Cricetulus griseus: one gene and its partners. The protein of the gene in region 1 interacts with the protein of each later gene in a pairwise test. Links are inferred from orthologs where the notes say so. Each region holds a gene or a part of one and is shown on either strand. Other genes may lie near its edges. The genes, in order: Tfip11, Ccdc151, Krt20, Ccnd3, Sh2d4a, Imp3 and Ccdc68.

What was found.
Region 2: the proteins of Tfip11 (region 1) and Ccdc151 interact in binary tests that used the Homo sapiens proteins (3 or more experiments, as listed by UniProt). The two-hybrid records come from large-scale screens. The link is inferred for Cricetulus griseus from reciprocal best matches to the Homo sapiens genes TFIP11 and ODAD3.
Region 3: the proteins of Tfip11 (region 1) and Krt20 interact in binary tests that used the Homo sapiens proteins (3 or more experiments, as listed by UniProt). The two-hybrid records come from large-scale screens. The link is inferred for Cricetulus griseus from reciprocal best matches to the Homo sapiens genes TFIP11 and KRT20.
Region 4: the proteins of Tfip11 (region 1) and Ccnd3 interact in binary tests that used the Homo sapiens proteins (3 or more experiments, as listed by UniProt). The two-hybrid records come from large-scale screens. The link is inferred for Cricetulus griseus from reciprocal best matches to the Homo sapiens genes TFIP11 and CCND3.
Region 5: the proteins of Tfip11 (region 1) and Sh2d4a interact in binary tests that used the Homo sapiens proteins (3 or more experiments, as listed by UniProt). The two-hybrid records come from large-scale screens. The link is inferred for Cricetulus griseus from reciprocal best matches to the Homo sapiens genes TFIP11 and SH2D4A.
Region 6: the proteins of Tfip11 (region 1) and Imp3 interact in binary tests that used the Homo sapiens proteins (3 or more experiments, as listed by UniProt). The two-hybrid records come from large-scale screens. The link is inferred for Cricetulus griseus from reciprocal best matches to the Homo sapiens genes TFIP11 and IMP3.
Region 7: the proteins of Tfip11 (region 1) and Ccdc68 interact in binary tests that used the Homo sapiens proteins (3 or more experiments, as listed by UniProt). The two-hybrid records come from large-scale screens. The link is inferred for Cricetulus griseus from reciprocal best matches to the Homo sapiens genes TFIP11 and CCDC68.

What each region holds. Positions count from the first base shown.
Region 1 is NC_048597.1:92,007,456-92,011,328, reverse strand, and holds part of Tfip11 (tuftelin-interacting protein 11), read right to left. Parts: intron 3,871-3,873; coding exon 3,718-3,870; intron 2,810-3,717; coding exon 2,282-2,809; intron 2,203-2,281; coding exon 2,096-2,202; intron 1,545-2,095; coding exon 1,376-1,544; intron 949-1,375; coding exon 705-948; intron 331-704; coding exon 188-330; intron 1-187. UniProt on the Homo sapiens protein: Involved in pre-mRNA splicing, specifically in spliceosome disassembly during late-stage splicing events. Intron turnover seems to proceed through reactions in two lariat-intron associated complexes termed Intron Large (IL) and Intron Small (IS).
Region 2 is NC_048597.1:134,886,987-134,890,859, forward strand, and holds part of Ccdc151 (coiled-coil domain-containing protein 151), read right to left. Parts: intron 2,467-3,873; coding exon 2,296-2,466; intron 2,211-2,295; coding exon 2,109-2,210; intron 2,020-2,108; coding exon 1,894-2,019; intron 918-1,893; coding exon 795-917; intron 227-794; coding exon 74-226; intron 1-73. UniProt on the Homo sapiens protein: Component of the outer dynein arm-docking complex (ODA-DC) that mediates outer dynein arms (ODA) binding onto the doublet microtubule. Involved in mediating assembly of both ODAs and their axonemal docking complex onto ciliary microtubules.
Region 3 is NC_048600.1:113,147,523-113,152,158, reverse strand, and holds the start of Krt20 (keratin, type I cytoskeletal 20), read right to left. Parts: upstream 3,136-4,636; coding exon 2,725-3,135; intron 477-2,724; coding exon 394-476; intron 1-393. UniProt on the Homo sapiens protein: Plays a significant role in maintaining keratin filament organization in intestinal epithelia. When phosphorylated, plays a role in the secretion of mucin in the small intestine.
Region 4 is NW_023276806.1:256,940,741-256,945,040, reverse strand, and holds the start of Ccnd3 (G1/S-specific cyclin-D3), read right to left. Parts: upstream 2,811-4,300; 5' UTR 2,623-2,810; coding exon 2,425-2,622; intron 1,551-2,424; coding exon 1,335-1,550; intron 1-1,334. UniProt on the Homo sapiens protein: Regulatory component of the cyclin D3-CDK4 (DC) complex that phosphorylates and inhibits members of the retinoblastoma (RB) protein family including RB1 and regulates the cell-cycle during G(1)/S transition.
Region 5 is NW_023276806.1:245,098,404-245,102,276, forward strand, and holds part of Sh2d4a (SH2 domain-containing protein 4A), read left to right. Parts: intron 1-2,808; coding exon 2,809-3,029; intron 3,030-3,424; coding exon 3,425-3,517; 3' UTR 3,518-3,873. UniProt on the Homo sapiens protein: Inhibits estrogen-induced cell proliferation by competing with PLCG for binding to ESR1, blocking the effect of estrogen on PLCG and repressing estrogen-induced proliferation. May play a role in T-cell development and function.
Region 6 is NC_048597.1:168,459,590-168,462,858, reverse strand, and holds Imp3 (U3 small nucleolar ribonucleoprotein protein IMP3), read right to left. Parts: upstream 1,738-3,269; 5' UTR 1,686-1,737; coding exon 1,131-1,685; 3' UTR 732-1,130; downstream 1-731. UniProt on the Homo sapiens protein: Component of the 60-80S U3 small nucleolar ribonucleoprotein (U3 snoRNP). Required for the early cleavages during pre-18S ribosomal RNA processing. Part of the small subunit (SSU) processome, first precursor of the small eukaryotic ribosomal subunit.
Region 7 is NC_048595.1:169,538,077-169,542,533, reverse strand, and holds the start of Ccdc68 (coiled-coil domain-containing protein 68), read left to right. Parts: upstream 1-1,612; coding exon 1,613-1,729; intron 1,730-2,827; coding exon 2,828-2,914; intron 2,915-4,457. UniProt on the Homo sapiens protein: Centriolar protein required for centriole subdistal appendage assembly and microtubule anchoring in interphase cells. Together with CCDC120, cooperate with subdistal appendage components ODF2, NIN and CEP170 for hierarchical subdistal appendage assembly.

The DNA of each region.
Region 1 (3,873 bases):
GCAGCATCTAGCAATTATTAGAATCTAGAGCCAGCCTGTGGCCTACATGTGCTGGACCTAAATCTCTACATCCCCAGACAGGTTCGGTGAGGAGCTGAGGTGAGACAATACCATGCCTTGACAGCAATGCGCACTGAGGACCCCTGGGCTCTCACCCCACCCTGCCCTCCTGGGCCACACAGCACACCTGAAGCCACTTGGGGAAGAAATGCTTCTCCAGCAGCCCCACCAGGCTTGAGACAGAGATCATCCCTTCCCAGTCCATCACCCAATAGAAGGCGTCCATATGCTGCTGGTGGGGGTTGATGACGAGTTCACCCAGACACATGCCTGCAAGAGAGATGGTCCCTGGCTCAGCTTCTGCAGTGGCAAAGCTATGGAAGCACAAAGTGCTATCCAGCAGACCCTTCATTTTGTGGTCTGCTCTTTCCTTCCACCCCAGGATCACAAGCATTTTGAGGCCAGTGGCTTTCTGGACCTGAGGCCCAAACTAGCCCCGTCAGGGAAAAAAAAAACCACAAGGCACAGAGAGCGCCCAGAGTCACCACTGCAGACCTTAGTGAGAGCAGAACATGGTCACAGTCGTGAACAGACCACCAGAAGGCCCTGGTTCCACTCCACTTCCACCTCTGCCATAAGCAGCACGCTTTTGTGGTGGAACACTAAGTAAACCACACATGGCCCACTTGTCCCTGTCTCCTTACCCAGCTTGGGCACGATGTTCCTGAGCATGAAGGCCTCCCAGGATCCAGGGGTAAGGACCTCTTTCCAGGGCTGCAAGATGAGCTTAGCTGAAGCATCACTGGGGTGCCACTTTTGCAGGGCGCTGGACAGCTTGCTGCGGACAGGGGAATAGAGCGGCTCCAGGCGTGCCTGCATGAGGGGCAGCCATGGGTGGATCCACGAGTGGATGGGAACGGTGTCTGTCAAGGGGTTCCAGTTGTCCACCTGCAGGGTGAATGGAGAAGGACGAGCATTGTAGTCCATGGACAGTTCATGACACACTAGTGCTGTCCTTAGGAAAGAGGCATGTGTGTCCTGAACACGGGCCACAGTCCTCAGTGTGGATGTGGAGGGTAAGATCCACCATGGAGGCAAATGGCAGGCACAGAAGCTGCTAAGCTGCCTCCCAGGCAGTTTGTACTCTAGGTCCCTCCACAGAGAAAAAACAAATGCACCCGTGCCACCAACTCCAACCTCAGCATAGCTCAAGGTTCACTAAAGGTACTGAGGAAATGAACTCCCTCTTGAGGGAGGCAGGAAGGGGATACTTTGGAAAAGGCTGAATAAATACTGTAGGACATTAACAAAGCCCTTCAGCCCCAAGAGTCTGGTGGCTTGGGTGACCAGAGACACTGCCGGAGCTCTGCCCTACCTCCTTCTGCAGCTTGGGGAAGATGAGCTGGTCCAGGATATTGTCCAGGATCCACACAGGGATGATGTGTGCCCAGCTGTCCAGGAAGTCCACCATCGGGTCACAGTTCCTGGGCTGCCACTGGGCGACAACATTCCGGACAAAAGGCATCCAGACCTCCCACATGAGCCTGTGAGAGGCAAGGGCAGCTGGTCAGCCACAGTGTTGGCCTCAAAATGGGCCATTCCACAGCCCTCCACAGGAAACTCCAGGTCAGTCTCCACAAAGGGCTCCCATGACGTCTTAGCTCGGGGCCTTGGGCTCCTCAGTGGTGCCACACACTGGCAGAGCTCCTACAGGACCACGTGGGGCCAATGGTGTCAGCACACAGCCTGAGGTGTTTTCCCACCAAGAGCACCTAACACTCAGGGTAACAGGTGAATGTCTGCCGCCGCCACTCCCTCCCCCCCCAACACCTCTGCCCGCTCCACAAAGACCTCATTCTTGGTTCTCTGCCCTTCCTGACTGTAGGTGAAAGTTGCTCATGGTCCTCCCAGGGTTGGCCCAGCTCCTGGACCCTCAGGACATACAATAGACATGTGAGCAAGCATGCCTTCAATGACCACAGCAGTGTCAGTGTGGAGCAGAGTCAAATAGCAGCCAAAACTGCTGTCATCCAACCTTTAGAATTCCTGCTCCCCGGGGAGGCAAGAGGATATATAGCAGGGTGGGGCCAGGCACCTGTGGAAGGCGTCCGAGGACAGGTCCTGGCTGCTGTGAGACAGAAGTTGGTCGTTCTCCAGGAGGCTCTTCCACTTGGAGATGATCTGGGTGCCATAGCTGCCATCCTGCAGAACACTGACATCATCAGCCTTCCCAACTCGGCAACCAGGCCTCTAACCAAGCTGAAGGCTGCACCCAGCTCACCTCAAGAGGGTGCCAATCCTTGAAGTAGTCCTTCACAAGCGGATAAACGATGGCCACAGCCAGGTCTGCACGGTCTGCCAGGCGGTACTCCTCATAGTACTTGTCCTGCAGTGTCTCAAAGATGTGGGCACACTCATCCAGCGTGAGGGGGTCGGTGCCATGAGGCTGCATGCGGCGCTCACACTCCTCTACCAGGGCCAGCACCTTGCTGAGGTTGGAGATGACACGCTCCTCGTGTGCTAGGACCTCGGCGGTCTTCTCGAGCTCGTGGGACAGGCTGACCACCATGTCCCGTTCATACTGCAGCTGACGGTCACTCTGGATGATCTCCTGCTCCGTGCGCTCAATGAGCAGCTGCAGGTTGTGCTCCAGCTCGGGCAGTGCAAAGCCTGGCACCTTGGCTTCCTTGCCGGCTGTGGGAGGCAGCTGTGCCAGTAAAGGCAGCCCTTCATCCGGCACACTGTGCTTGTGGCTGATCTGGCTGTAACTGTAGTACACCTTCTGCTCCCGGCCTGTCATGTCGATCACCTTGAAAAGAGCGGCAGGTTGCCACCTATTAGCCGCCACTGAGCAGGGGAGACAGGACGCTGGCCAAGTGTCAAAAGCCTTGCTAGTGGGCAGAGCTGCCTACCACAGACTTGAGCTGTCACACTCACACTACCTCATACTGAACCATGACAGGCAGCTGCCACCAGTGCTGTCGAGCCACTTGGAAAGTGACAGTAACACCATGAGTCCACCATAGAAAGAGAGGCCTTTCTCCACACCCCAGCTGTCCCAAACGACTCACTTCACCCACAACCATGACAAGCCTGACACCTGTGGGCCATCAGAACCCCAAGTCAGAAGTCTTTAAAGGAGGGGTCTTTGTCTTGGCCCCCAGCCAGTCAGAGCATTCCCTATCTGCTTGTGCACTCCCAGGAGCCCTCCCCTGGGTCTCAAAGGTATCTACAGAGGACCCAAAACAAACCAAAAGGAGCTGCAGGCTGAGCAGAGGCTCCAGGGTTGGGAGCTGTGCTCACCACAATGATCTGCATGGGGAGATGGGGTACTTTGTAGTGTGCAGAGTGGAAGGTAGAGCCTGGCATGTTCTGTACTCACGAGTTTTACTGAACTCACTGGGCATGAGCTGCAGACAGGTGGGAGCACTGTGCGCTTGCCTTGACCACTGTTGTGCCACGAAGGGGCAGAAACAGAAGAACTGGACCACGAAGCGGTCATGCCCTAGGATCCCAGTGTCAGGAGGTCTGGGGAGGACTGAGCATTTGAGGCCAGCCTGGGCTAAGAGTTCTAGACCAGCCTGATCACATGGCAAGATTCTGTCTTAGAAAGGAGAAAGGGACATGGACACTTGGGAGCGCACACAGGCAAACACACACACACCAGTTATCAAAGTCTTCAGAGGATGGACGGGGACCAATGTGCCGTCCTCATACCTTGACCTGAGACAGCTCCTTCTGAGGTGCTGTGAGCTTCTTGCTGACCCTGCCCTTGGCTTTCAGCTCCTCCACAGTCTTATAGGAGTACTTGGGCTTCTTCTTGCTCCCGCTGGGGTCTTTCCTCCACTGGCTCAGCTCCTTCTGAAACTCCTG
Region 2 (3,873 bases), about 43 Mb from region 1:
GAGCTGGGCAGGAGAAGACACCTTTAAGGGAAGAGGAGCCTGCCCCACTCCAGTGCAGGCCCAAGGCACTCACATGTGATTCAGCCACTCCAGTGGCATCCTTGACCTTGTCAAACATCATTTCCATCTGGTACATGCCCCAGCGACGCTTCAGCTCCTCCTCTTTGTGGCGTTGGTGGTCATGGACTGTATCTTCTGACTGAAGCAGTACATGCTCTCTGTGAGTCTGCTTAAGGGTAGAGGACAGTCAAAGCCACCATCAAAGTCAACTCTGGATAAGGGTTTGGGCTGGATGCCAGGAGAGGAGCCGTCTTAGCTTGGATTGTGGGGAACCGGACAAAGTTTTGTGACTAGGTACCATCATCCCTGTGGGAGTCACAGAGGTGGTCTCAGAACCAAGGTACGGAGGCAGAGTTCTAGAAGGAGTGGCCTCCGGAAAGAGTTGGGCTAGAGCCCCAGTCAGTTAGAACACCAGGGTCTGAATTAAATGGAGAAGGTTGGGTAGAGGATCAGACAGTCAGGGCAAGCCTGGAGGCCATGGCCTCAAGCAGGAAAGGAGGCAGAGGAGAGCCTGTGAGGAACCAAGTGCAGTGAGTGGAGACAGGGTTGGGAGGGGGCAGGGTGAGGCCATGTGTGAGGTGTAGGCAGGGCTCTGGGTCAGTGTGGAGGCAAGGCAGAGGCTGAGGCCTGTCTGGTTTGGGCTGCTGAAGCCCTGCACCTTTAGTGTGGGGTTAGGCAGAGGCTGAGGCCTGTCTGGTTTGGGCTACTGAAGCCCTGCACTTTAGTTTGCGCACCTTGCGCTCCATGCGCTCTGTCTGAAGTTTCTTCTCTTCTGCCCGTTTCTTGCAGTCAGTTATGTAGAATTCACGCTTCTTTCGGTCTCGGATTGCAGTCTCCTCCAGATATTGCAACTGGCTCTAGAAGGCAGGCAGGCAGGCAGGGGGCATCTGGTATCTATCCAGGATAGGAATGGAACAGCGGACCCCAGGCAACACAGCAACAGTACCATTGCTGGAGACTTAAAGACAACTGACTTCTGACTATAATTCCCTGAGCCTTTGGTGTTCCAGATGCTATTTTCTCTAAATTGAAACACTCCCTCATAGAGAGAGGGAGATTCAAGACTCAGGAAGTCCACGAAACTTCACAAGGCTCAAGAAACAAGCTTCACAAGGCCCTTCCCCGGTTAACATGGATGCGTGAGAAGACTGATGAGTAGAACTCTAGGGATGGGCTTTCCCATCAGTAACCCTCACCCATGCTCTGCAAGGATGTCAGAAGCCAGCCTTGGCGACCCCCCATGCCTAGCTAGTCGCCAGCTAGTCTAGCATCCCACCCCTCAGATTCCAAGACCTGGCCTGAGAAGCAACTAACACCTATCCCTTCCCCCACTTTCTTAGTTAGTGCCTGAGATAAACACAGGAGATTCCGGATACCTGCCTGAGAGCAATTAACATTCATTCCTCCCCCCACCTCCTTTTTCTCTGCTTCCCCCTTTTTCTTTAAAAGGCCCCTTGGTTTCAATAAACTAAGACCTTGACAAGACAAAAATCGCTTGGTCTCGCTTTTCTTTTCCGCCCATTATTTTCAGGCTTGATCCACTTCGGACCCACGAATTACTAGAGCCCCTCGGGCTGGGGCACACGGAAGCCCAATAAACTCTTTGTTCTCCAAGTTGGGCTCTGGTGGAAAGGTTGATGGTTTTTGTTTTTGTTTAACTTTGTAGCCTTGGCTGGCCTGGAACTTTCTATGTAGACCAGACTGGGCTGAAACTCAGAGATCTGCTTCTACCTCTGAGCACTGGTATTAAAGGCTTGTGTTAACACAGATAACAATGGTAGCTGTGAAGGACTGCCACCCTACTCCACCCTGGGGCAGGAAGACTACTAGTACCTTGGCAATGTCCCGGGCATTCAGGGCCTCTTGATTCACCACTTTCAGCTCTACTACCTCATGTTTGGTCTTCACCACCTCAGCCTCCATGGAGTCCAGTCGGTTCTCCAAGTTGAGACTCTCGTCCTGACACATGGAGAGAGGGAAAGCTTGTGACTGCTGTCCCTGGCCAGGTCTGCCCTCCTCACCTACCTCTCTCTCCAAAATGTCCCTACCTGGAGGTAAGACTTGAGCTGCAGGTACACATTGGTAATGTGCTCTGCTTCCTCTGCCTTCATCCGGGCCTTCTCCAGCCGGTTCTCCAGGTTGCGCATGGTCTAGGGGAACAGCAGGCTGGGCCAGGTTCCTTTCACCACCATCCATGCCTGCCCCAGGACCCCTTCAGCCCTCAGCAAGCCCCACCTTGGCCGCCTCTGTGTTGCCGTCTTGCACCTCTGCCAACTCCAGTTGGTGCATGCTGTGCTGTAGCTTCAGTTCCTGCAGCCGCTTCTGCCGCAGCGTTACCTGATATCGCAAGGCATTCAACTGGTTCACCTTATCCCTCAGCTGGTGTTCCAGGTGCTCCAGGGCCTGCTGCAGGGGAGCAGAGAGCAAAACCTCAGCTTACCCTCCCCAAGGACTTGAGTCCTGGTTCTCCTAGAAGCCTTTGTCTCTCTGGTCTCCTAGCTGGTTTCCAGGACCCTTGGCATCCATTTTCTCTCTCTCTCTCTCTCTCTCTCTCTCTCCTCTCTCTCTCTCTCTCTGTGTGTGTGTGTGTGTGTGTGTGTGTGTGTGCAACAGGATGGCCATGGCTCTGAGCTATAGACCCAGCTCTCTTTCACCTTTTTTTTTTTTTTAAAGCCATGGTTTTATGTAGTCTAGACTGGCTTCAAATTGTGTGTCCATCCAGAGATAAACTTGAATTCCTGATCTTTCTGTCTCCACCTCCTGAGTGTTGGGATCATATTGGTGTACAACTGTACCATATTTAATGAGGCCCTGGAGAGATCAACCAGGGCTTTGGCTTGGTGTGTGTGTGTGTGTGTGTGTGTGTGTGTGTGTGTGTGTGTGTATGTGTGTGTGTGTGTGTGTAAGCACATGAGAGAGAGACAGAGAGACAGAGATAGAGACAGAGACACAGAGAGACAGAGAGAGCAGGTACCCCTATGTACATGGAGGTCAGAGGTCAATGTCTGGGATCTTTGTCTTTTGGTTTCCAGCTTTTTGATTTAGGCATGGTCTCTCACTTAGCCTGAGCTGATTGGATCACTGACTAGCTGTTGAGAGCTCTGGGGACTCTCCTCTCTCAGTCCCCTAGTCCTGGGATGACCTGCCGGCTCAGTTCAGTGACTTCCACCAGCAAGCACTGCCACCTGACATCTTACTTTTTATTTCTTTCACTTGTTGGGTGCATTTCCTAAAGGTCAGGCATGGGATCCCGCTCCAGGAGCGGTGCTTTTTTACTTTTTTCAGTTCGGACTGCTGGGTCCTTTTTCGATTTCGGGACAGCTGTGTCCCCTTCGGGGCCAGGCCCCTGGCAACTCCCACGGGCAGACGTGCATCCGTAGAAGAGCTTATTGCTGGTTTTCTACCTGCCTCACCCATGGGAAATGCATAGAGGAACCTTTCTGGTTTCATCCAACAAGCAGGTAAACAGACAAAAGCGGCTTACGGTTGCCGCCATTTTGGTCATGTGACCTACCTGTAGGCACGCCCAGCTCCAGTGTCCTTTGCCAGCAAACCTGTCTGTCAGCCAGATCTTTTTCTTTTTATTTTATTTTTGTCTTTTTCTTTTTATTTTATTTTTTGTCTATGATTTCTTCTTTCACTGGCTCTGTTATTCATGGCTTGTTTACTAAATACTGTGCCTTTCCAGGGCCCTCTGTTTAAGTCTACTCTGTCCCTTTAAATCTCCTGTCTGTTTGCTACAATGTACGGATCAGAGATTACATTCTGGTTCCCCCTTTACTGTTATCCAGTCCTGCTTGTCTCTATACCTGT
Region 3 (4,636 bases), on another chromosome or scaffold:
GACTACATAGCAAGACCCTTTCTCAAAAACAAAAAACAAGACAACCAACCAACCAACCAACCAACCAAAACACACACACATACACACACGCACGCACGCACGCACGCACGCACGCACGCACGCACGCACGCACACAACACACATACGCGCACACGCACACACACACACACACGCACACACACACACACACCACACACACACACGCACACACACACGCACACACACACATGCACGCACACACACACAGCACGCACGCACGCACGCACGCACGCACGCACGCACGCACGCACGCACGCACACACGCACACACACATACGCACACACACACACACACACACGCACGCACACTTGCACACACACACACCTATAGTCACTGTGATGTAGGGAACCTACTTCAATCTGAAGTCCTCTGCAGCCAGTTTAGCATTGTCAATTTGCAGGACGCACCGAGCATTTTGAATTTGAGCATCCTTAATCTGGAAAGCATAAGAGAGAGAAAGAATGACATTTTCATCAGGGCTGGAGATAAAAAAGATCTCATTTGTCCTCAGAGACAACTGTAATTACATCAAAAGCGATGTCCGTTTCAAAAGTGTGAGAGTAATTAGGTGCAATAGTGACACAGGTATTGAGGTAATAGTTAAAAACAGGACTCTTGGTCTGACCCACTTTCTTGTTTTTGTACAAAACAGAAGTTGGACTTCATCCATATCCCTGAACCTTATTGAGTGTCTTGTCTGTGGTGATGTTCATGCCTGGAATATTGCCGTTAGCCCTCCTCACCTGGGGAGCTCCTATGCCTTCAGCTCTCAGCTCAGACACCGTGGCTTCAAGGGGGCCTTCAATGATATCCCCCAGTTCTAGCAGGGCCGTGTCCCTGCTTCTGTGGCTCTGTACAGCCTTCCTGCGTTTACCTGAGTGACAGTTGCTTTGGTCCAGGCCTGTCTCCACCTTACACTTTATTTACCCACACATTCTTCTATGTGTGATGCTCAGTACCCAGCTAGTGTCTATGAAACAGTGAGTGAATGACAACTTGCCATCTGGTAGGCATTAGGCATTAGGATGGAAGGATGGACACACCCTGGTTTTCTCTCTCTCTCTCTCTCTCTCTCTCTCTCTCTCTCTCTCTCTGTGTTCATATGTACAGGTATATACATGTGTAGGTCAGAGGACAATCTTCCATGCTATTCCTTAGGTACTGTCCACATTTTTTGGGGGAGGGGCAGGGTCTCTCATTGTCCTGGAACTCATCAAGTAGGTCAGGCTGGCTGACCAGCAAACCCCAGGGATCTTGGGATTACAAGAACACACCATCATTCTCCAATTTTTTTTTTAACCTGGGTTCTGGGGATCGAACTCAGGTTCTTGTACTTGAAAGACAAGCACTGTATTCTTTAAGATGCATGTAGACGGGAAGTCTACTTCTAGAAGACATGAAAATGACACATCTCTTTCAGTAGCTATTCCTGGAGAGAGGTCCCTTGAGAGGCTTCCAGCTAGAAGGTACTAATGGCTGCTCTGAGGTATCATGGGTAATCCCCGAGTCAATTCAGAAGCATCAACCTTGAGAGCAGTGCTGGAGAACAATCATTTTGAATGTGTTTCAGCGAAAGCCTGAAGGAACTCCCTGTTGAGGGTGATGTAACCACCTTAGCTTCCTGAGCTGATTGTTTCTGTGAATCTGAATCAGGCTGCACTGGTACCTATAATACAGCTCCAGCAAAGAGGCCTTCGGGCCAAGTCAATGGCCTTTGCTCTAAAGGGGTAATCATTTTAAATATACGCAAACCAGAAAGGGACACTTTCCTTGATTAGATAAGAATGCTGAAGCAAAGCAAATGGTGTGCTGTGCTTGACCTTGTCAGCCCGGAGCAAAGTCTCCCACTTCTAGTCCACTGGGTTTATAAAGAGAGAGAGAGAGAGAGAGAGAGAGAACCCCACCTATCTTGGATGACACAGGAACAGATTGTGATATGATTGTAATAAATTTGAATTGGGGGCAATAGAACATTTTATTATTGCTGAAGTGCTTTATAAAATGCTTGATGATGGTCAGCAGAAACTTAAACAGGACATTAAAAAATCCACTTAGCGAAACTGAGCATGGTGGCTAATCCCAGTGCTGAGGAGGTAGAGGCAGGAGAGCGGTGAGGTGCAGACTAGCCTGGGATATACAGGGAGATCTTGTATTCAAAAGCTGTTCCTTCCATCCACCCTACCACCCATCATCTACCCATCTGTCAGTCAATACAGACACTATAATATCTGTAGTCTGTCTGCACTCTGAACCCTTGTAATATTTATACCCATAGCAGGATGACACTTGAATTGTAACATTTATATGGATGAAAAGAGAAAAATCTCTTTAAATTGATCTGAGTCTTCAAAGTTGGTGAAGACTAGTGGGAAACTCACATAGAAACCCTTGGAGTTCTTTTAAAAATAAGATTATTCTCCATGAAGACCTGACATTGGAAGCCACGACAAAGACACAGGCTGTAATTTTGGATGATAAGATCATCACATTTTATATGTAATTAGGTGGGTTAAACGCATCCTGTTTACACTAATGCCACATGATAAAATAGATTTTTCAGCTATAAAGTTCAACCTAATTTGCTTCACGTGTTTGAATTCGCCTAGCATACACTCACAACCCCCCCCCCCTTAATCTAGTATACTACTAAACAGTAATGTCGAAAACACAGGTCCATGACTTACCTGATTTTGCAGCTCTTTGATTTGTGCATAGTAGGGACTGTAGTCCCGGATGGTGCTAGGCGCATTGGTTTCATACCACTGCTTGATCTGGACTTCAAGTCTGGAGTTGGATTGCTCCAGGGACCGCACTTTTTCTAGGTAGCTTGCCAAGCGGTCATTGAGGTTCTGCATTGTTAGTTTCTCATTGCCAGCAAACAGGTCCCCTCCACTGGAGAGATCACTCGCATAGCTCACTACAGATTTGGAGACAGAGATGCGAGTGCCGTGGCCTCCAGCCCCACCATAGACACTGGGTGCAGCCACCAGGCGCTGGGCGCTCCCCTTCCTGTACATGGAGCTACTCATGCTAAGTGCTGGGCCTTGTGAGGAGGAACTCAGACTTCTGTGAAAACTTCGACGACTGAAATCCATCTGGGATCCTGGGAGGCAGCACCTGTAGCCTGGAGTTGGAGCACAGCCTGTCTGTCTCTGGTGCTGGAGAGCTGACCTTTTATAGAGTTCAGGAGAGACACTCCTCCTCTGCTGCCTTGTCACCTCAGGAATGACACAGTCCACTTTGCTACCTCCCCCTCTTTTGTACAGCAATATGTTTCATCCTATTCCAGAAATGACCACTAGAGACACTTTATTAAGGCTTTTCTAGTGTGTGTGTGTGTGTGTGTGTGTGTGTGTGTGTGTGTGTGCGCGCGCGCGCTGGGCGGGGGGAGGAGGGAGTGGTGATTTCTTTTTAATGAACACAAGTATCAAAAAGAATGAGGAAGGGGTGTTCTTTCAGATCTTGCACCTGCCCTGGCAGGTTTTTTTTTCATCCCCGTGTACAAATAAAGAATATTTACAATCTATATGAATAATTCAGGCTTTGAACAAGACAGCTGTGGGAACACAATGGTAAGTCATACTGGTGAGAACAGACAAAGGCTTGTTCCAATGACGAGCTGCTTTTCAGAACCTCTGTTTTATGCTCTTTTTTTTTTTAAATTTGCTTTTGAGTTTATCCTTGTTTAGAACTTATATTTTTAGTCTGTTGAAATATCTTGTATGAGGCTGGGTGTCCTGGTGCACACCTGTAATTCTAGCAATTGGGAAGCAGAGACAGGAGGATTACTGCAAGTTTGACACCAGCCTGCTACATGGGCACGTGAGTACACACACACACACACACACACACACACACACACACACACACACACACACACACACACGGAGTTTGAGAACTGAATGTGGTGAATAAGTAAATGAGTATAGGTGTTGATTTTGGAGTTGAAAATACTTTCAATAGTAGTTTTAGGAAATTTCATATATGTATATAATGTATCTTGATAACATCTACCCTGACTTCGCTCTCCAACTGCCCCAGAAGCCCCCAACACATTTCCCATCCAACTTATGCTCTCCCCTCTTTTTAAAAATAACTCATGAATCTAATTAGTGCTGCCTGTGTACTTATGGGTGTACTGGGGTGTGGGAGGTGGCCACACCTCCAAAGAAAATCCAACTCTCTTCTTGACTTCCAGCAACTCTCAGCTTCCAGGAACTCCTAGACTAGGGCAGGAGCCTTGAGAGCCCCTCAGTGTATTCTTTTTCCTTTCTTAAAACAAAAACAAACTCAGCCGGGCGTTGGTGGCTCACACCTTTAATCCCAGCACTCGGGAGGCAGAGGCAGGTGGATCTCTGTGAGTTCAAGACCAGCCTGGTCTACAAGAGCTTGTTCCAGGACAGCCTCCAAAGCCACAGAGAAACCTGTCTCAAAAAAACAAAACAAAACAAACAACAAAAAACCAAAAAACAAAACCAAAAAACAAAAACAAACTCTATTATGGAAACCTTGCAAATATCTTTTAAATACGTGTGTCTAATGGTTGAAAAAATGTTTTTAAAAATTTAAATCACCAAGAAACCAGTTTTTATACCT
Region 4 (4,300 bases), on another chromosome or scaffold:
CACTCAGCGCAGGCCTCTAGGAGAAGGCTTGCCTATTCTGAAAACCTCCCCTCACACACACACTAATGTAGACCACCCTAATCTCTGCACAAAGAGGAAGTCTCCTACCTCCCTGCCTCAATCCCTCGAAAACATCTTGCTCCCTGGCTGTGGAAACTACCAGATTCATCACAAAGAGCTGTGGGGCCTCCCTGATTCCCAACTCAGGCCTCCCATCAGCTGCTTGACAGGGAGAGGAATCCAGTTCCCCGACTCAAGGCAGTCAGGGGCCCCAGTACCCTAGCTTCCCAGCCAGCCAATCACATTAGCCTGCCTGCTGCCCTCCTCCCTAGGAGATGGGGCCCAGAGACTCCTTTCAGGGTCAGGGAAGGCTTGGCTAGCCACAGAATAAGGTGGAGGGAGGTGCCAGCTCACCCACCCTCTCCCCCAGACCCTGTGGGAGATGATGTTCAAGCTCTATTCCAGATTCAAGCAGTTCCTCCACCTCCTCCCTAGACTCCTCGGGGCAGGGCAAAACCCAACCGATTTTTGCCCCGCCTGGAGGAGCCCAGCCCATGTTCCCAGCAAGAGACCCCAAGGAGCCACTTCCCAAACCACAGGAGTGACAGCAGCTCCCCACAGGGTTATGAAAGCCCTTGGTCTGAGTGGGAGGGCAAGGGGACCAGCATCATTATCACATCGAAGCAGCTGCAGCTCGGCTCCCTGTCTCTTCGGCCTTTGGCTAAGAGGCAAAGGGAGAAACCCTTCCACCGGCCCAGGGCAGCTGCTCTCGTTTTTTCAGAAGACAAGGAAGGGTGGGTAGGGAAGGGGCTCTGTCTTTGGGAATAGAAGGGAAAGGGATGAAAACACCTCAGCACTTCCTTCCAGCAATCAGGGCCTGGCTTTAATCAGCTCTGGGAGGCTTTTCCATCACAAAGTCCACACGGGGATAAAGACTCATGCAAGGCAGCCCCCTCCCCCACGTGAAGCACATTCCACTCCGGTGGGGGTGTGCAGACATGCCCTGCTGCTGCCAATAAATAACTCATGGTGGCTGTGTAAACCCAGAGGCAAAGTACTGGTGTATAGACCAGCAACTGGACTGGTTGCTATCTGGGGTAACCCCACTATGGTCAGAGGAAGGGGGTTCATTTGGTTTTAAGCCTGCAACTAAAGCACAACTACCACACTACATGGCCTTTGTCCCACCCCAGTTCTTTTCCAAAATACTGGCCTAGGGCGAGGGGAGGGTTGGTGAGTGAGGGACTGAGCTTGGAGTTCTCTTTTCTAGTACATAGGGCGACAGTATTTGAGAGCGGGGGGGGGGGCGCCACAGAGGGGGATTCCACACGCACCCGCAACTGCCAAGGAGCCACAGCTTGGTCCGTATAGATGCAAAGCTTCTCAATAGTCAGGGGCGTGGTTTCGCGCAGCTTAGAGGCCAGCAACAGGCAAACAGTACCGAGGAGCTGCAATTGCGCCTTTCGGGTGGGGACGCAAGACAGGTAGCGATCCAGGTAGTTCATGGCCAGAGGGAAGACATCCTCCTCGCAGCGCTGCTCCTCACACACCTGAGGGATGGCGCACGAGTCATTGCTAGGGAAGGACCAAGTGAAACGCAGCAGCATGGGGGGTGGAGGGAGAGTGGAATGTGGAGCAAAAAATAAACAGAGACGGGATAAACTTACAGTGACAAGAATCAATAACCGAGGAGGATGCGCCCTCCCCAAGGTGACCCCCCCACTTCCTTTGCCTGGCCTCCTCCCCACCCCTGAGTGGTGGGGGTGTAAAGGAGAGAAGCCCTTGCTCACGAGGGATTCCAGACTCCCCTCCCCCACGGCGAGCGGAAGGGGGACGGAAGGGTCGCCTAGAGAGAATTGGGACCTTACCCTCATTACCACCACCCACTGCACACACACTCCCAAGGGGAAGGGAGGGAACTCCTGCCGCGGTCTCCCGCACTTTTCATTTCCCTGTGGACCGGAACCGAGCGCGCGCCACCCCCACCAGCTTCCCCCGCCAGAACCCCGCGACAGACACAGGAACCAGTTCTAGGGCTAAGGCGGTCGGTCGAGCCCCAGACTTTTCCAAGCACGCTCTCGGAGAACTACAGGCGAGGAAGGAAGCAGGAGACACCGAGAGAAGCCAGAGGGGAAATAGTGGCCCTTAGCCCGCTTTCCCGACCTGAAGTGAAGTTTAGTTACAGTGCCAAGTGACTGGCAGTCTCAGAAGAAGCCGATCGGGATTGGGGAAAGGAAGGGGACAGAACGCAGGCAGCTGGCTAGGGTGGATGCCTGTGTGAAAAGGCCAGGCCCCTCAAGTCGGGGCCGCCAAAGCATCTTGAAGACTGTGGTCCGATTCATGATGCCCCGACAGGGCAACTTGGATTTGCCCAGAGCCGGAGGTGGGGGTAGGGTGAGGAGAGGGGACCGGTCCGGGCCTTACCTCCAGCATCCAGTACGCCAGCATCTTCCGCATGTGCGGCTTGATCTCCTTTTGCACGCACTGGAAGTAGGAGGCTCGCGGCACGTAGCGCTCCTCCAGGCGGAGCAAGCTCTGCAGGACACGCTGGTCCCCCAGCAGCCTCGGGTCGGGCCCGGCCCGGGGCGCGTGCCGGGTGCCCTCGCAACACAGCAGCTCCATCCTGAGGCGGCTCACGGGCGAGAGCAGGAGTGCGGGCTGGCGAGTCCTTGGAGACGCGACGCGCACGAGGGAGAGCGCGGGGTGCGGGCGGGTCTGGCGCTGGCGCTGGCACTGTACGGAGAAGCCCCAGCCCGCCCGCCACCCGCGCGCACCGCTTCCCTGACAGGCGCCCCGCCCCTCGCGACGATGTAGCAACCGTGGAATGCTCCGACGTCACAACGTTCCAAGGGGGCGGGGCCGCAGACGGAAAGGGCTGGCGGGCGTAATCCCCTCCTTCCCCGCAGCCCATTGGTCCGCGGGGCGCCGGCTTCTGCAGGCTTCCGGGCCCTCGGGGCCCTCCTGACCAAGACGGTGGAGAGAACTTTCTGGGAGGGTGCCCTCTTCCCCATCAATGGGCCGTCTTGACTCTAGCCACCCAGGAAAGAATTACTCGCCCAAAGTTATCCATTCATTCACGTTTGCACCCTACTTCACTGCTCCAGGGAATGTTAATAGCTGCATATCTGGGTCGCTCCTACCTCAAGGTGCATTCCAGGTCTTTATTTTGCAGACCACCAAACTGAAGCACAGTGGTAGTTGAAGAGACCTCACTGTCAGTCCAGGGAAACCCGGCTCCAGAATTTTGTCTACTTAAATGAATTCCACAGACTTGCTGCAGCACCATCTGGCAGCTGAGCAGGAAGGTAAAGAAAGGGTCATGTCACCAAGGCTGACAACCTGAGTGTGATCCCTGTGACCCACACGGTGGAAGAAAAGAATCAACTCCCATAAGGTGTCCTCTGACTTCCACACTAACGCTGTAACATACCACCACACCACACACCACCCGGTATGCACGCGCACGCACACACACAAATTATAAAAATGAAAAAGCAAATGAACAAATGCAGTTTCTCAGGGTCCGCTGAACGGGACACTGCACTGTTTCCAGATTCGTGGAACAACTTAAGTATAGGTGGTGTTTGTCGAAATCAGCATATTAAAAGCCCCACGGTGATGGTGCACGCCTTTAATCCCAGCACTAAAGAGACAGAGGCAGGCAGATCTCTGAGTTCCAGGCCAGCCTGGTCTACAGAATGAGTTCCCCAACCCATGGGGCAGGGGAGGGGGGGGGGGCAAGAGAGAGACAGACAGACAGAGAGGGAGAGAAAAGAGAGAGAGAGAGAGAGAGAGAGAGAGAGAGAGAGAGAGAGAGAGAGAGAGAGAAGCTGAGGATATATATCCAGTTGGTAGAGTGCCTGTTTAGCATGCTCAAAGCTCAGGGTTCAATAACCAGCACTGTAGAACCTGGAATGTTGTCCTACACCTGTAAGACCAGCACTTGGGAGGTGGAAACAGGAGGATCAAAAATTCAAGGTCACAAATCAGTGATGGAAAACAACTTTAATCCCAGCACTCAGGAGACAGAAGCAGGCAGATCTCTGAGTTTGAGGCCAGCCTGGTCTATGAGTTCCAAGAGAGCCAGAGCTACACAGAGAAACCCTGTCTGGAAAAACTAAAAATAAATAAATAAATAAATAAATAAAGTCCCAGGTTATTTTTGGCTACCTAATGAGTTCAGTGCCAGCCAGGGCTATATAAGATCCTATCTCAGTAACAAAAACAACCAAACCAAATAATAATAATATAGTGGCTGCTTATGGAAATAATACTAGAACTTCAAAGGTTGAGAAAACTA
Region 5 (3,873 bases), on another chromosome or scaffold:
CCTGTGTCTGCCAGGCCATTATTTGAGCTTCTGAACTGAGAAGCTCACTCAGTAATTGCGGGGCCACTGTCTCCCATGTGCCACAATAGGAAGTATAGAAAAAAGACTGACAGGTTGAATGTTCATACTTTGTGTTGTTGTGACCAAAGAAGCCTGAAAGAACATCTGAGAGGAGGTAATATTTATTCCTCATCTTAGAGGGTTCAAGTCTATGGCTGTTTGGCTCCGTGAACATAGGCAGACCGTCTCGGTAACAGCAGCATGTGGGGGGAAGATCTAGTCTCGTGGTAGATAGGAAAGACAGGAAGAGAATAAGCAAACAGGCAGCATGAGACATAGCCCTCAAGGACACTCCTCCAGTTGCTTCCTCCAGCTGGGCTCTACCTCCCAAAGTTTTATAATCTCCCCAAGTGACTCCAGCATCCAGGAACAAAGCATTTGAGACATGAACTGGGGTATGTGGGTGGGGAGGAAGAGGCTATTTCATATCTCAGCTATGGTGAATGTTTATGGTAGACATGAATCAGCAACCTTTCTAAGAGGCACAGCAATAGAGCTGGGGTCTCTGGGAGAGATGCCTTGGGTTGCTTTCCTTTTGGGTGCCGTTTCCCATCTTGGTAGAGGGATCTATCAGCACTTTCCTAACTCCAGTGCTTGATACATGCTCTCATGCGGGGCTTTGTGGTATAGGACCGGGGTCTTCATCTTCCCCAACAGTGATGGGCAAAGAACAGGTAGGAGAAGTGTTGGTGGGTTGACCTTGGCTTGGGGGGAATTCAAATTCCTCCCCCTATTAAAGATCTATTTAGAGATTTTTTTCTTAACTTTGTGCTCTGGGTGACTTAATGAGCTAAAACTTCACTAGCAATTAGAAGGGCTATGAAAACCATTTGATTTTCACCAGGAAGTGTTCTGTTTGTTTCCTTAATAACCAGAACATGAACATCAGCGCAGAGTGAGAGTGGAGGAGGAGGAACCAGGAGCTCCTCTCTGCTGCAAAGCAGAGTGAACTTGAAAAGAACATTGCTCCTCCCTCCCAAATCAGAGCCCACGGGGTGACTCAGCAAGCTGTGCTGTTGATTATTTTCTGTATGTTTACTATGCTGTCTATTCATTTCAAGAATTACAATAGAACTAAGAAGGGAACTTTCGAACGTTGAGTCAAACTCTATGAACCAAGAAATGAGACTGGGAATTCAAGAGACATCTTAATTATACCTCTCATAAAGCCATATATATATATATATATATATATATTATATATATATATATATATATATATATATATGCACTCATGCTGGGCTTTGTGGTATAGGACCGGGTTTTATTCTTCCCCAACAGTGATGGGCAAAGAGCAGGCAGGAGAAGTGTTGGTGGGTTGACCTTGGCTTGGGACATAAGTAAGTTAAGCTCTAGCCTCTCAAAGACCAGTGGATACATACATTGAAGACTAGTTTTATTAGAATTCAGGAGACCTTGTACTGGTATCCAGCACTCAGTAGATCTATCTTCTGGTTCTGTCACTAACTTGCAGGGCTTCCTAGACCAGGCTGTTTCAACTTTAGCACCGTTGATGCTTTGTGCTGGATAATTTTTACAGTACTTGACTGTTTTGTGTATGTTCAGTAGCACCCCTTGCCTCTACCCCATGAATACAAGTACCACCCACACCCACAACAACTGCACCAGTTACTTCTTACATCACTGTGAACACATCGGACAGTAAGAACATAAGACAGAGAAGATTTATTTGATTCCATGGCAAAGAAACACTGGCAGTGGGAACAAGGGGAAGGTTCTTCACATCATTGCAGACCAGGAAACACTTCACATCATATTGGATCAGGAAGTGGAGAAAAGAGAATTCTAGCCCTCAACTAGCCTTCTTTCTCCTCTTTTCCATCTCATCTACTAGCCAATGGGATGATGTTACCCACATTCAAGGTGGGTCTCTCCCCTTCAGTTCATTCTCTGTGCAAACCACATTAATTTCACAACACATGTGATTTGTCTCCTTTGTGAGCTACTGTTTTAGAGCAAGTCATGTCACTTCCCAGACCTGAGTCCTCACTGACCGACAGTGGTGGCCCTATAAGAGCATCTGAAGTTCATTCGGATCTGACCAATTACCCTCAAGATAATATACCAGATTGTCATAAGTGGTAGACAGCTTGTGTCAATGCAAATGGGTCTCTAAGTGAAACTATTTGTAAATACAGTTCTTTTACTATGTGTCCTAGTTTGCTTCTCTGTTGCTATGATTAAAACACTGACCAAAAGCAACTTGGGGAAGAAAGGGCTTATTCCAGCTTGGAACTCCCAAATTTCAACACATCAAGGGAAGGCAAGCAGGAACTTATGGCAGGAATCTGGAAGCAGAAACTGAAGCAGGAGCCAAGGAGCAATGCTGCTTACTGGCTTGCTCAGTTTGGTTCTGTATACAACTCAGGACTACCTGCCAGGGGTGGCACCACCCAAAGAGGCCTGGACCCTCCTGCATCAATCATTACTCAAGAAAATGTCCCCACAGACCAGCTTGATGGCAGATATTCTTCAACTGAGAGGTCCTTCTTCCAATGTGACCCTATCTTGTGTCAAGCTGACAAACTCTCTGTTTTGCGTTTGTCTAGTTATCAAATACCAAGGGGATTGTTTGTTTGTTTGTTTGTTTTACTGATTCCCAAGGACCGCAAAATACACATGGAACAGCTCTGCCTGTCACCAAACTCTATTCATACAGTGAGGGGCAACACAGGAATGGCTTACAGGTACTTTGCTAAAATGACTTTTCTTTCCCCCTTCCCACAGGGATTCTCACACTAAAGAAAGCAAATGACCTTCTGAGCACAGGTGTGCCAGGAAGTTTTCTGATCCGAGTCAGTGAAAAGATCAAGGGCTATGCCCTGTCCTACCTGTCTGAGGAGGGCTGCAAACATTTCCTCATAGACGCATCTGCCGACTCTTACAGCTTCCTGGGTGTGGACCAGCTGCAGCATGCCACCCTGGCAGATTTGGTGGAATATCACAAGGTGAAGCCACTCATATGCTTAATTTGTCTTGGGAATTATTGTCCTATAGATATATAACAAAGAGGGGCATGGCTAGGGATATTGCTCAAAAGCAAGCAATGGGAGGGGCAGCATATAATTCCCCCTGTCCTTTATCACATCCTCCTGACACACTCAGAGATATCCCACTGGATCTGAGAATACTGGAGATGCACATACTGGTCACATGTGTGAATGGTCCCATGCTAGAACTTGGACTCTAGCAGGAAAGGGAAGCTGCCAGAAGGAAATTGCTATTAAGGTTGTCAAAAGCCAACATATGTTTGCACAAGCCTAGAGTAAAGGGGTGATATCCTGAGGAGGTAGAAGGGCATCTACCACACAGCTGCTACATGACCCTGTGCTTTGATTGACAGGAAGAGCCCATAACCTCCCTGGGGAAGGAACTCCTGCTGTACCCCTGTGGTCAACAAGACAAGCTACCAGACTACCTGGAGCTCTTTGAGTAACAGCTCTAGTCAAGATCAGCCTTCAGCCAGGTTTTCCTCTGGACAGACACCTCGGAGGTGGACAGTTGCCTGTGATGCCAAAATCACTCTGTGACAGAGCCAACAGTGAAGAATGCCTTTGAGGTTAATTGAAACCTTGATTCTGCATAAAAGCTGGAGTTCAAGTCAAGGGGATACATCCTCTCCCCATCCTCATTCTGAAAGGAAAAGGGAGAAGTGTACTCATTTCAGTAACATCCTAATATGAAGAATAGGACCTTGAAGGATATGACCATCATGTTGTATATAAGATAAAATAACAAGGCTAACTTGAAATGTATTTTTAGCAGTTAATATGTTACTCTAAAAAAAAAGTG
Region 6 (3,269 bases), about 76 Mb from region 1:
CCAAAATAAAAATAAATAAAAATAGGCTGAGCGTTGGTGGCACACACCTTTGATCCCAGCACTCAGGAGGCAGAGGCAGGTGAGTCTCTGTGAGTTCCAGGCCAGCCTGGTTTACAGAGTGAGTTCCAGGACAGGCTCCAAAACAATACAGAGAAACCCTGTCTCGAAAAGTAGGAAAAATATATATATATAGAATTAAAAATAACACCTCTCAAAAAACCCAATATGTAATATGCTGGGTTCTGTATTCTAATTTGTCTGTGCTAAAAATTGATGTTCTCTTGACAAATTCTATCACTTTATTTTTTTGCTGTTGTTTTTTGCCTGGTTTTTGGAGTAGGGGTTCTTAACAATGAACCCATGACCTTGCACATAAGACTAAACACACATTTTTCCACTCCTAAGAACAGCTGTTTTCAGGAACCTCCTGGGTCACTTCTAACCACGAGCTGGCCAAGCTACAGAGTGATCATTTCCTTAGGCAAGCAAAGACTCCGGGCCTTTAATTTGGTATTTCCTGGGGCTGGAGTATCAACAGGAAGTCTTGTGGATAAAAGCTCTGCCAAAACATTCATTCCGAGAAAAGGACTGGTAAAGTGATAAATCTGCCCAGCTTATACAACATCCTGCAGCCTCCACGTGAGGCTCCTGCGGCAGACCTCACGCCTACAATCCTATTCCGATTCTTTCTTAGGGTTAGAAACCTCGGCAAGGGTATCATCAGACAAAAATTTGCACTTAACAAGGTGGTCGGGACATTTATTGGCATAAGGAAAAGGTTTCTTTAAAGGAGGGAGTGAACACTTAACATTCCCGTAGCCCCGTTTCATATATAAAAACAAAACAACAAAAACACCTGAACCCAAATCTGTAGCAGTCAATCCTAGCTCAAGATGATAAAGCCAAGGAGAAAGGGGGTAACGTCCTTGCTTCTACACCACAAAGTGACGACCTAACAATCGCCAGTGCAGTACAAAACTGCTTCCCACTGACTCGCAAAAAAAAAAAAAAAAAAGACAGTCATTTAATTATCAGTCCAAATTCTAATAAAAAGTCCCAGAACTCAGGGGCTATTCTCCCCATGCCGGGCTCAGTGACCTGTAGTTGTGAAGCCTCGGGGAGAAGGCTCGCTAGGCATCCAGATCAAAGTCATCGCGCTCCTCGTTGTACTCCAGCACGTGCCGCTTGATCTTGGACGAGTCCACCCAAGTGACAAAGTCCTCCATGCTGCGAGTGACGAGAAAGGCGGGATCGGTGACCACGTCTGGGCCCACGCGGACGTGACCCTGCTCCACAAAGGCCACGGCAGCCTGAAGGTGCTGAGCCATGCGTAGCTTGAGGAGCAAAGTAGGCAGGCGGCGGCGGCAGAAGGAGGAGGCTGAGACCGAGTCGCAGAGCTCTAGTGAGCCGCGCGTGGGTACCAGGCCGAGCGCGTACAGCTTGTCCAACAGCGCCGCCGAGGCGCGCACACGGAAGGGGTCGCGTTCCGGCAGGTCGCGCAGGCGCCGCGCCAGTTCCCGCACCGCTCGGCTCAGCTGGTTATAGCGCGTGTACTCCTCCCGCCGCTGGAGCCCGTACCGCCGCAGCACGCGCAGCTCGTGAAGGTTGTGGTCGGTGACCTCCCAGTTTAGGAAGTCCACCTGCTTCAGCAGCTTCTGCTCGTGGAACTTAAGCTTCCGCACCATGATGGAGACTGCCAGAGAAAGCGGAGAGCACGCTGAGAAAGCAGCACAACTTCCGCCTCCGCGCCGGAAGACCCCGCCGCCCAGACCCCTGGGCCAATAGAAAGAAAGCTACGACCACGCCCCCGTATTTCATTGGTCAGACTTAAGAGCTTCCTGTTTGGAGAGGCCAGCGGGAGGTCGGAAGGGCGTGTCCTGCGAAGACAGCGTGAGCGTCTTAACCGCCTGGGGGGAAGTCGTATAGCCTAGTGCTTCAGAAATTTTGTTAGATTTCTTGTCTTTGGTGACCCTGAAGAGAGTTCCCCTCAAGAGCTGGAGACGTCAGTTTCGGGAGAGAGGAGTAACGGCTAAAAGATGTAGTTAGAACCGTGCGAATTTCTTCGCTCCAGTGGTTTCTAGAGCTGGCGAATAGTCCCACCCCGGTCAGCAACAGGTCTGTCACTGGACTGGGGAAAGGGATTCTCCTTGCCAAGCAGTACTGAGCAGCACTAAACCTATGGCATGCCGGTTTCCTGGCCGATTACTAGACTCACGTAATCAGAGTGGGAAACACCCTGACATCTGGCTTTTACTTTTTTGAGACATCGTGTCTTCCCTAGGTAGCCACGAATTCGCCGTAATCCAACCCGCCTGTCTCCCAAAATGCTGAGTTTACGACCATGAGCCACTACGGTCGTCTTTTTTATTTTGTTTGTTTGTTTGTTTTTCGAGACAGGGTTTCTCTGTGTAGCTTTGGAGCCTATCCTGGCACTCGCTCTGGAGACCAGGCTGGCCTCGAACTCACAGAGATCCGCCTACCTCTGCCTTCCGAGTGCTGGGATAAAGACCGACGCCCGGCACGGTCGTCTTTTTTATTATTTTATTTATTTTTTATTTTATTGAGACAGGGTCTCTCTATGTGGACCTGGCTGTCCTGGTACTCTATGTAGACCAGGCTGGCTGTCCTCGAACCCAGAGCTCCACCTACCTCTACCTCTCGAATGCTGGAATTAAAGGCTTGTTTCTCTACTCCCAGCTCTTATTCTAGAGACAATTCTATGTTACTCAGGTCAGTCTGGAGAGTATGTTTCGGCAGTCCTCAGTGGTTCACAATATGCACCCAATATGAGGAACTCATTAAGTACAATTCAACCCATCGTCTGAAAGAGCTGAAAATATCTTGTCTGGCAAACTCTTGCCCAGAACCCCCGCCCACCCAAGCTCAAGAATATCTTCCAGCACAGTTCCTGTCTGAAATCACAGAAGCAGAACTGAGGTCAGAAAATGTCTACTGAACCCCCACCCTGATAGGCCCTTCCCTCCTTCAAACCCCACCAAACCTCAAGCTCCTCTGATACTGTGGCACACAGTCACCATTTCTGAGGTGAGGTGGTTTTCCCTCGGTCTCTTTATCAAAGGACAGTCTGCTTCTGTTGAGGTCAAAGAGTCCTGCTCTTGTTTCCACATCTGCTCAGATTTAACACCTCCAGTACTGAAACCTGAAAGGAGTTTCATTGGGGTTGTGACAGCCCCTTCCCTGGTCTCTCTTCTCTCATCTTCTCCCTTCCCCTCCTCTCCTCTCCCTCCAAATCCCTGAACTTGCTACCT
Region 7 (4,457 bases), on another chromosome or scaffold:
GGATTGAAACAGGATTCATCTATTATATTTGGCTGTATGTCTCTTAATATTATTTTTTAAAAAACTTTCTTTGATATCTTTTTATTGTATGTGTTTGTATGTGCCTATGTGTATATATAGCACATGTATACAGATGCCTGGGAAGTCCAGAAGATCGTGTCAGATTCCCTGAAACTGACGTTGTAGGTGGTTGTGAGCTGCTAATGTAAGATTTGCTGGAAACCAAATCTATATCCTCCTCAGAGCAGCAGGAGGGAGCTCTTATAACATTGAGCCCCAGACTCAATCTGTAGAAGACTTAGTTACAAGGATTCCTGAGTATTGAAGCCTCCAGTCTGTAATGTTCTGCATTAAACTTTTTAACCTGGTGTTCTTAGCTGAGGTTGAGGATTCTTTTAGATCCATTCCTTCATAAGCAGTTACAAATGCTGCATTTTCTAAGTCTATCAATTCCTTTGAGTTTATTAGCTGATATACCATAAAACCTTTCTATTATTAACTACTTAGTTACTGAAAAATACAGTTAATGTATTAATGATGTGACATGTGCTTGCTATGTCTTTTTCTTTCTTCTGTCTTTGTCCCATGTCCATCCAGTTGTTGGCTCAGCAGCTTTTGGGGGGGTGGGAGGGAAGATAAATGAAGACCATGGCAATAGTTAGGTTTCACCTGTTATAAGTTCAAGGATTTAGGATTTTTGATATTATTCAGTTCATCACAATCATTTATGATGGTTTCTATATTTTATTCAAACAGTATTTGATCACCTGACATGCTTAGTTTTATGAGCTTTGTGTCCTCAACCTGAATCACTCAAGAAGCTCTAGCTTCTCCATAGGAGGATATGGTATCTAGACTACATACAACCTGTCCACCAGGAACATGACTGTGTATAGTGATCAGAATCCCAATCACTGTGTCTGTTCACTACTCCTTCCCTCTTGTGTGGTTGTGTTCATGTTCTCATTTGTGTGTGTTTGTATGTGTGTATATGTTCCTGTGTGTGTACATGTATGTATGTATGTGTGTGTGTTCCTGTATGTGTGTGTGTGTGTGTGTGTGTGTGTGTGTGTGTGTGTGTGTATGTCTGTAGTCAGAATTTCACTCTGGAACCCAGGCTGGTCTGAAACTTACTTTGTCAAAGCTGTGAGTTGATATTTCTCTTCATTCATATTAGCCACCTTTTTTTTGAAAAAAAAATAAGAAAATGGAATATTATATATTCATTCTGTCCATGTTGTTTTTTAATTGAATCATACATTGTAAATGATATCCCACAGTGGCAATCTACTTACCAATATTACTCAACTGCATTTGGATTTCTTCCAAATTTTCTTTCCATTAGAGGATATTTTGATAAACAGCGTTTATCAAGGTTCTATAGGATCCACACACACAGTTTGATTATGACTGTATTTCTAGTTCCATGGACATTTATTGAGCACTTACAGTATGGTATAGCATAAAGTGAATAAAACAGGGCCCTGCTCAAGAGATTTTGCAGACTAAGATGATACTAATCATTTGATACTAAAGCTTTGATTGTGGCAAAACTCCTTTATGTTGTGTTGCTGAGCTGATGATTTATGTTTTCCAAAGGCCAGAACTCACAATGACAACTGTAACAGTGACTACAGAAGTCTCTCCAAGAGGTAAGACAGAAGGTGACTCTGTCTTGTATGGATCTTCGTCAGCTCACATTATTGAAGAAACCGAGTATGTGAAAAAGGTATGAGGGCATCAGACATCATATCATGGTATTTTTATGATGAGCACCAGTATGGATCAGTGGGCTTTGTGTCCTCATCCATGCAATGCCTAGAAAGGGGTGAACTTCACTTGGCTTAGGACAGCTGACAGCTTCTATTTAAACATGGCTAGTCATTTCTTCTTTACAATATAAACCTGTGTCTACATGGGAAGCAAAATGATTTTCTCCACTCAGTGGAACTGAGTAATGGCCAGGACGGTTCAGTACACCTATCAGCATTTAATTCACACCCCACCACTCGCTGCTGGATTTCCTGCTGTTTTATGACCTCCCCTGGTGGTTTCCTGAATGTGGATGCTGTGCTCCCAAGTGGATGTTTATGTTTCCCGCTGATTCTAGCTCCCTCTCTTCACCTGGTTCCTAAGTGCTAGCTAGTGCCAGTGACATCTCTGCAAGTGATGTCATTAATAATGTAACTTATGAGAAATCCACCAGGAAAAGAGCTAAGAAAGGATACTCACATAAACTGTTATAATGGATAGAAAAATTCTGACACTGAGAGTTTATAAACTTGTTCAGATCAGCTAATTAAATTACCTTGAGCTGTCTAATAATTCAACAGGTTAGCAAGATTGGAACTCAAACTTCATGCATAAATTTGTATGATCCTTTCTTAGGGTTTTTCTGTAGTAATTTTATAGTAATTACTATGTAGTAATCATTTTGTAGTAATTACTATGTAGTAATTATTTTGTAGTGATTACTAAGTAGTAATTGTCTTTTAGTATTACTAAACACTAAATTAGTACTAAATTATAGATAAAAGTGAACAAAATGCACAGTTTTTAAGTACTAATTACTAAATTATTTTGTAGTATATATAATTTAATTTGGTTTGTCATATTTTAGGTTTATCTGAAAAAGAGATATAAAACAAAACACTTATTTTCATCAACCTAAATGATATTAACTTAAATATAATTTTGGTTGGAGGCTAATCTTTAAATGTGACATCAGGATATATATGTAAATAAAGTGCTCTGTAGCTGGTATACAGAAAGAAAAATGCATCTGGAATTAAATGTCTTATAAAAATTAATAAATATTTTCTTACAGATTCGAACTACCCTGGAAAAGGTCCGAAACCACATGTTTAAAGATGAAGAAGAACATGGCAATGAAAATTACCTACTAGATGCAGAGGTAATACATGCACCAAGATTCATTCCTTGCCTTCTTTCAGAAAATTAACATGAAGCCATATAGATTTCTTATTCAATCAACGTTTCTGCCCACTGTTACTCATTGAAGCTGAGCGATAAAATATTTCATGAATGTCTAACATCTAAAGATATATCTATGACATGTTTACTAGGGATGTCATTAGAAGAATCAGATCAGAATGGAACATTGAAAACAGAACATAATTATAAAGTAGATGGGAAGACACCAGACCAAGGGGAACACACAGTAGCAATACCTTTCAGAGACAAAGTTTGCAAGTGTGCTAGGTGGGACACAGCAACTGATGGGTTTGAATTGAGTGATGGGTTTGCTGATCAATATGCTTAATCACCTTTCCCTAATTTCAGTAGCATCTTCATGTACTTAAAGTCTCTTTTAGCTCAAATTGTACCAAATTAAGTACCAATAGAGCCAAGAGCACCTATCCCATTAGCGTTACTGACTATAAACCATGGTCACACATCATACGAGAAGGTAGTATGTGCTACATAAATACAGTCTCCTTATGTCACCCTCAACTTCCCATATAACATGACTAGTGCTAGAGATTTTCTTAATTGCTCCAAAGTTGGGGAAAAAAGAGATTATATTGAGGTGTGGCAGAGAAGAATATATTAAAAATCATTTTTGGCCTTGTGGAGTTTACTTCTAGAATTCCATTGGTGGTTAGACATGATCCTAGATTTGAGAGTACAGATCTGGATTAGACGGACTCAGTTACATTTGACAGGCTATTGTGTTGGTAAAGTCCTGAAACTAGAGCTGGGTTTGGCACTTGAGCAGGAGGACAAGAGACCTGCTTGATTGAAACAGCAAAACTGTATCTCCAGAATAAATAATAAAATGCAATACTTTTGAAAGTGGAGAGGATTGGAAAGCAATACATAGAGAATACATAGAGATGACAGATGATCTAAAGGCATAGTGATGAATTTCCCAAAGCTTGGGTCTTTGGAACAAGAACCATCATGGAGGTTGAAATGGATAGGAGAGAATTAGGAGGAAAAGCCATAGAGTGTAGAATCCCTGAGGGCAGGTAGAAAGAGTAACTGTCCAGTGTTGTCCATGGGCCATGTAAACTGAGAACTGGCCAATGGAGACTGGAAACATTGAAATGGATTTTTTGCTGACTGTCCCGCGCCCGCTCTGTATTCCTCGCCAGCAAGAAATACACGCAGGACACTCGGATCCTTCTGCAGACAAGCTTTAATGCATTAGACTGAACAGAGACTGAGCAGAGACTTAGCAGAGACTGAGCAGAGACTTAGCAGAGACTGAGCAGAGACTTAGCAGAGACTGAGCAGAGACTTAGCAGAGACTGAGCAGAGACTTAGCAGAGACTGAGCAGAGACTGAGCAGAGACTTAGCAGAGACATTAAACCAAGAAAACCATTCCTATATAAAGGCTGACCAGCCGCCTGGGACGTATTACCCTATGAATGGCTTCAGCTCCTCAGGCAAAAATGAGCCACGGGATAGGCAGAGATCAAAGGAATGGAGA